Linked DNA regions of Saccharomyces cerevisiae S288C. The protein of the gene in region 1 purifies or fractionates together with the protein of each later gene. This does not show direct contact. Each region holds a gene or a part of one and is shown on either strand. Other genes may lie near its edges.

Evidence for each region.
Region 2: the proteins of PEX29 (region 1) and CDC19 purify together in Saccharomyces cerevisiae (affinity purification with mass spectrometry, with the first as the bait; 2 studies listed by BioGRID). This does not show direct contact.

What each region holds. Positions count from the first base shown.
Region 1 is NC_001136.10:1,414,710-1,418,705, reverse strand, and holds PEX29 (Pex29p), read left to right. Parts: upstream 1-1,831; coding exon 1,832-3,496; downstream 3,497-3,996. Other genes in the region: alkaline phosphatase PHO8, read left to right, coding at 1-156; DIG2 (Dig2p), read right to left, coding at 336-1,307; SNM1 (Snm1p), read right to left, coding at 3,535-3,996. UniProt on the Saccharomyces cerevisiae protein: Involved in the regulation of peroxisome number, size and distribution.
Region 2 is NC_001133.9:70,053-73,890, forward strand, and holds CDC19 (pyruvate kinase CDC19), read left to right. Parts: upstream 1-1,733; coding exon 1,734-3,236; downstream 3,237-3,838. Other genes in the region: YAL037C-A (uncharacterized protein), read right to left, coding at 3,374-3,466.

The DNA.
Region 1 (3,996 bases):
GAAGTTGGCCAGTTCTTAGAAAACTTTTTAGAATTGAACCTGAACGAAGTCACTGATTTGATTAGGGACACCAAACACACATCAGATTTTGATGCTACAGAAATAGCTAGTGAAGTACAACATTATGACGAATACTACCATGAGTTGACCAACTGATCCTATCTAACTCTCCCTCTTTTTTCACATATTATTTAATACGTTATAATTTATTTGAATATATATATATATATATATATGTATATATACTAACCGCATGACACGTACTGTATCGCATTTCGTTTCGGAGTGCAGGCGAGTTTTAGGTGCATTCTATAGCGTGAAGAAGTGAAATCTCGTCATTTCTTCAAGTTATGCCATTCAGTCCAGATTGTTTCACATGCTTTCATATAGTCATTTTTGTCGTCGCGAACTTCAAATTTGAAAACATCATCATACAGAGAGATTTCTCCAATAATGATCCTTTCTTTGTCGTTGTCATCATCGGCATCGTCGTTAAGTGAAGCGCCCTCACTTAATGAATTTTTCGTGACAGAGCATTCAATGTCTTCATCAGTCTTACTTATGATTGGGTCTCCGTTGTGGTGTTTGGAGACAAAGGTTCTTTTTCTCGATGTCAAATCTTCCAAGTGTGGTGATCTACCAGCCAACTTCTTCCTCTTTGCATGGTAGTCGGCTGGTATTATACCATTATTATACAAGGGGCCGGGATACATCGGGGAATAATAGCCTTCGTATGCGTGCGTTTGTGTTGGAGTTGAAGAATATGGGTAGCATGGTACTGGTGGCAGTCCAGTATATGGATAAGGGTAGGTTGCTGTCATATATGAATTGGCCACTGAAGGATGATAATCTTGATTCGTAGGAGCCATCCTACCCATATATCTGACCCTAAGGCTATTTTTGTGCTGCGGAAATCTTGTTATGTTTGGTGGAGCACTTTTAGATCCATGCAAATGAGAAGATGCTTGTATATCGGAAAAATTTAGCGCTGGAGGTACCCTTTTCCTCTTTAAAGAATGATTCAGCGACTTAAAGGGTACGGTTTTCTCTGCTGGAGAAGTCGTAATGGTAGGAGGCTTACCACTATGATCTTCCTCTTTTTGCGACAGCCTAGATATGAGCAATTTTTGATTTTTTTCGATATCCCTGGATTTTTTGATCTTCGAAATCATTTTCTCACTCAATCTGTCTTCATCAAGCCCTGGAGATACTAACAGCATTCCCAGTTGCTGCAAATTCCTGGGATCATTTTCCTGAACAGTTGATATTTGCTCTTGCTGTGGGTCTTCTTGCTCTTCTTTATTCATAATTTTCCCTCTTTGCTTAAATATTCCTGCAGGCTTAACTATACCACATAAATACCACTGCAAGCAATAGAAATGAAAAATAACATTAATAACCAAAATTTAAATGGCTGTATGTTTATTGTTTATTTGATCTGCACATTATGTAATTATTGATAATTTAATAGACGTGTCCGCCGGGTGATGAAGCTGTGACATATCACAATTTTATGTGTACCTGTTGTATGTATACGCTCTAATGTCCGATATCATCATACGTGCATCACTTTGTAGCCTTCTAGGATGGCGTCTAGGTGAATACCGCCGTAGTGTTTAGGAAACTAATGTTATGGGTGGTTGTTGTTTCACTATCCAGTAATACTTTTGTGGTGAACTTAAGAAGCTTAGGGGTTACCCCTTCTTCTTGAACTAATTTTAAGAAATAACAACGAGGAATAGTGTGTATTTTTAATTACTGATCAGGCCGCATGAATATACTCACCTGTATACGTAGCAAAATTTCAGTCTCCTACTGTATATACGTCTAGATGGACTCGGTGACAAATTTTTTCTGGAATGACACCTATAATGCTGGTACTCCAACTAGATCAACTCTCAAGGGGAAGAAAGTGCAAAATGGCATAGATGGAAAAAGTCAGGCAAAGAAAGAGAGCATATCTAGTGGTTCTAGAACTAGTGATCCTACACGTGGTAGTCTGCCATCTTCCAGTGGACAGCCAACTAGTGGTGGCGGTTTTCCCTCGACATCAAACATCCAAAAGATGATGGCAGATACCCTGGTAGAGAAGATAATCAAAATGGCATTACCACCATCTTCCAAAACGGCTGTTGATACAATTCACCATCGTATGGTTGCTGGTAAAGAAAGGCCTAAGCTGTCTGTGCAGATCACGAGTAGGAATTTTATACAGATGAACTCGAGACTAGGGGTACCATTCATGATTATGGATGAATTAATAAAGATATTAAACTGGACTAACCCAGCGTATACAGTATCTATCATGTTCTTATACACGCTCATTATATTGAAACCTTTTCAAATGCTTTCTTCGCTCCCTATATTCTATTTGTTATTCTGCGTAATGGTCCCGCAATACCTTTACATTCATAAGCCAAACCCTACAAGCTATCTAGATAATAATCAAACACCAGCACAAGGCCCACCTTTGCGAAGACCTGAGGTTCCTAAACCAGTCCCTGAACTGAGCCAAGAATTTGTCTTAAACCTCACGGATTTACAAAACCATATGCTGCTATATGTTAAATTCTACGATTTTACTTTACTCATATTACAAAAGTTTGCATTCTTCACCAACGAGGCTATTTCGTCGTTTTATTTTATTGTATTGTTAATAATAGCAACATTAAATTTTCTGTACATGGATAAATTTATCAAGCTCATTCCAATGAGACCCGTACTGATACTGCTAGGTTGGGGTTTTTTTATTGCCTCGCATCCGTCCAATCGTGAATATTTGTTGACTAAATTGAATTCGGAGGAGACAAGATTAAAAACTTTGACTATAAGTACTAATCTGGAATCTAAGATTTTGCAGCATTTGAAACTCATTGAGGCTAGGGAGCACCGACTTGTTATGATCTTTGAGATCCAAAAGTATCTTCCTGAATACAAAGAATGGCGCCCAGTTGGATTCTCTGATGACGATTATTCTCTTTTCTCTAGTTTGAGAATATACCAGAGGCGTATTGAGGAAAATTCAGTGAAGTCATTAGAAGAAATTGAGCCACCTAAGGATTGGGAATGGGAAGCCAATTCTCATTGGGTGCTTGATTTGGATCCAAAAGAATGGGTAGAGGACGAATTTATTCAGTATGTCGAGATAGATTCAGAAACAAAATGGGTCTATGACCTCAATCTTGATGGACAAAGGGGCTCATATAGAAGGCGAATGTGGACCAACAGTTGCGTGCGGAAAAAACTGGATTCTGGTATTTCTTCAAACCTTGGTGAGGAGGAAGTAGTTAATCCATTGAGGGAAGAAACATATAGGCAAGGCGTACATGGCGTGACGAAGGGTTCAATGAGTGGCGGTCTAACTCACAGTAGTGATGATGACCGCGCTGATGAGGAAAGTATAAACGGTACTATTCCTAATCTCAACAATATCGACGCGGATGCATCTTATCCGTCAATCGAAGAGCTAACAGACACTCTCAATTCAACTATATAAACTTGATTTGTTATACTATATGTTCACTGATGATACAGTCAACTTTTCATAAAACTTTCTAATGACAGTGACGAACTTTTCTTCTTTTCCATTTTTTTCTCTTGATTTCTTTTCGATAAAAGGTTTGTAAGTGAGTTCAACTTTCTCTTCTTGGATCTCTCCTTACCAGTACTAGTTTTACTCTTTTGGGGCTTCTTTACCGCGTACGAAACCTTCCCGCTGCTGGTACTATTGATCATCGGACTAACATCTTGTCCAAATGTTGGAACAACGAACTCAGATTTCCACTCAAACAATTTAGACTTTTCACAATTCAAGCAATTAACCTGGATACATTTTTTTGGTCCTTCCATACTCTCGCCGCCAAGTTCGTCGGAGTCACCTTGCTCGGTATTAGTCGTTAACTGAAGACTTGCGTTAAAATTAGGAACGTAAACACACCCGCAATGGGAGCAAAATTTCCCACTTTTCAGTTGTTCTGGCAGCATGATTTGATATCG
Region 2 (3,838 bases), on another chromosome or scaffold:
CCTTTATTACTTGCATGACTATTATTAGCAGAGCATGTAGTATGGGACTCAAGACCGATATGATACACACCAAAGACGTAGGCACCGGCGATTAAATCAAAGGCTCCGATAGCCGAAAAGTGAGAAGAAAAAAAAAGGAAAAAAAGGAATTGTCCTAATGAGCGGTGTGGCCGACTTGCCATAATATCAGTTAGGGCTACTATCAATGTTTTATCTACGTTGGAGTAAGATCGTTTATCACTTCCATATTTGGACCAAATGAAAAGTTCAATCGGCCAAGTATTTCATGGATGGAATGACGTTTGGTAAGGAAGTGCTTTTTCTTTTTCCACATATTTTCCCTTTCTCTCGGGGAAATTTTGTTTCTAAACATAAAAAATAAAGCAACAGCAAAAAAGAGGGTCTGTCCAGCGAATAAGAAGAAAACCTCCTTTTCGGCTTTTGAAGATAGGTTGCAGTTGTCTGCGGGCACAAAATGGGCAATTTTTTTAATACTTTTTACGTATGAGACAAGATTTTTTTCGCCAATTATATCGCATGAAGAATAACCAGAGTTTTTCTCCGAACGTTAAGGGAGTTGAAGTAAAAATAAAGAAAGGACCAAATGAGAATGGGTATGCTTGGTCTTAGTCTTCGAATCAAATTCTGCTTCCCTGTTCATGGCAACGTCACCTCAATTATTTGGAAAGGGGGGGTTTTCCGACTTTATTTGAGATGACTTGAGATGTGTGTCAATGCTAGTATTTTGGAGATTAATCTCAGTACAAAACAATATTAAAAAGAGGTGAATTATTTTTCCCCCCTTATTTTTTTTTTGTTAGAATTGATCCAAATGTAAATAAACAATCACAAGGAAAAAAAAAAAAAAAAAAAAAATAGCCGCCATGACCCCGGATCGTCGGTTGTGATACGGTCAGGGTAGCGCCCTGGTCAAACTTCAGAACTAAAAAAATAATAAGGAAGAAAAAAATAGCTAATTTTTCCGGCAGAAAGATTTTCGCTACCCGAAAGTTTTTCCGGCAAGCTAAATGGAAAAAGGAAAGATTATTGAAAGAGAAAGAAAGAAAAAAAAAAAATGTACACCCAGACATCGGGCTTCCACAATTTCGGCTCTATTGTTTTCCATCTCTCGCAACGGCGGGATTCCTCTATGGCGTGTGATGTCTGTATCTGTTACTTAATCCAGAAACTGGCACTTGACCCAACTCTGCCACGTGGGTCGTTTTGCCATCGACAGATTGGGAGATTTTCATAGTAGAATTCAGCATGATAGCTACGTAAATGTGTTCCGCACCGTCACAAAGTGTTTTCTACTGTTCTTTCTTCTTTCGTTCATTCAGTTGAGTTGAGTGAGTGCTTTGTTCAATGGATCTTAGCTAAAATGCATATTTTTTCTCTTGGTAAATGAATGCTTGTGATGTCTTCCAAGTGATTTCCTTTCCTTCCCATATGATGCTAGGTACCTTTAGTGTCTTCCTAAAAAAAAAAAAAGGCTCGCCATCAAAACGATATTCGTTGGCTTTTTTTTCTGAATTATAAATACTCTTTGGTAACTTTTCATTTCCAAGAACCTCTTTTTTCCAGTTATATCATGGTCCCCTTTCAAAGTTATTCTCTACTCTTTTTCATATTCATTCTTTTTCATCCTTTGGTTTTTTATTCTTAACTTGTTTATTATTCTCTCTTGTTTCTATTTACAAGACACCAATCAAAACAAATAAAACATCATCACAATGTCTAGATTAGAAAGATTGACCTCATTAAACGTTGTTGCTGGTTCTGACTTGAGAAGAACCTCCATCATTGGTACCATCGGTCCAAAGACCAACAACCCAGAAACCTTGGTTGCTTTGAGAAAGGCTGGTTTGAACATTGTCCGTATGAACTTCTCTCACGGTTCTTACGAATACCACAAGTCTGTCATTGACAACGCCAGAAAGTCCGAAGAATTGTACCCAGGTAGACCATTGGCCATTGCTTTGGACACCAAGGGTCCAGAAATCAGAACTGGTACCACCACCAACGATGTTGACTACCCAATCCCACCAAACCACGAAATGATCTTCACCACCGATGACAAGTACGCTAAGGCTTGTGACGACAAGATCATGTACGTTGACTACAAGAACATCACCAAGGTCATCTCCGCTGGTAGAATCATCTACGTTGATGATGGTGTTTTGTCTTTCCAAGTTTTGGAAGTCGTTGACGACAAGACTTTGAAGGTCAAGGCTTTGAACGCCGGTAAGATCTGTTCCCACAAGGGTGTCAACTTACCAGGTACCGATGTCGATTTGCCAGCTTTGTCTGAAAAGGACAAGGAAGATTTGAGATTCGGTGTCAAGAACGGTGTCCACATGGTCTTCGCTTCTTTCATCAGAACCGCCAACGATGTTTTGACCATCAGAGAAGTCTTGGGTGAACAAGGTAAGGACGTCAAGATCATTGTCAAGATTGAAAACCAACAAGGTGTTAACAACTTCGACGAAATCTTGAAGGTCACTGACGGTGTTATGGTTGCCAGAGGTGACTTGGGTATTGAAATCCCAGCCCCAGAAGTCTTGGCTGTCCAAAAGAAATTGATTGCTAAGTCTAACTTGGCTGGTAAGCCAGTTATCTGTGCTACCCAAATGTTGGAATCCATGACTTACAACCCAAGACCAACCAGAGCTGAAGTTTCCGATGTCGGTAACGCTATCTTGGATGGTGCTGACTGTGTTATGTTGTCTGGTGAAACCGCCAAGGGTAACTACCCAATCAACGCCGTTACCACTATGGCTGAAACCGCTGTCATTGCTGAACAAGCTATCGCTTACTTGCCAAACTACGATGACATGAGAAACTGTACTCCAAAGCCAACCTCCACCACCGAAACCGTCGCTGCCTCCGCTGTCGCTGCTGTTTTCGAACAAAAGGCCAAGGCTATCATTGTCTTGTCCACTTCCGGTACCACCCCAAGATTGGTTTCCAAGTACAGACCAAACTGTCCAATCATCTTGGTTACCAGATGCCCAAGAGCTGCTAGATTCTCTCACTTGTACAGAGGTGTCTTCCCATTCGTTTTCGAAAAGGAACCTGTCTCTGACTGGACTGATGATGTTGAAGCCCGTATCAACTTCGGTATTGAAAAGGCTAAGGAATTCGGTATCTTGAAGAAGGGTGACACTTACGTTTCCATCCAAGGTTTCAAGGCCGGTGCTGGTCACTCCAACACTTTGCAAGTCTCTACCGTTTAAAAAAAGAATCATGATTGAATGAAGATATTATTTTTTTGAATTATATTTTTTAAATTTTATATAAAGACATGGTTTTTCTTTTCAACTCAAATAAAGATTTATAAGTTACTTAAATAACATACATTTTATAAGGTATTCTATAAAAAGAGTATTATGTTATTGTTAACCTTTTTGTCTCCAATTGTCGTCATAACGATGAGGTGTTGCATTTTTGGAAACGAGATTGACATAGAGTCAAAATTTGCTAAATTTGATCCCTCCCATCGCAAGATAATCTTCCCTCAAGGTTATCATGATTATCAGGATGGCGAAAGGATACGCTAAAAATTCAATAAAAAATTCAATATAATTTTCGTTTCCCAAGAACTAACTTGGAAGGTTATACATGGGTACATAAATGCAGATGCCAGTGAACTATGTTCAGCTTCTGGCCTTCGTTTGGTGGTTTAATCTATTTTTTATAAAAAATGACGCGGGCAGATTCAATTAGTGTCCTAAATTTATTCGCGTTTCAAGATTTCAAAGGATTGATCCTCTTATCAGAAACGATAAGTGCTACTCCGTCCTATTCTTCTAGCCATCTAGTACGTATTCTTTTCATA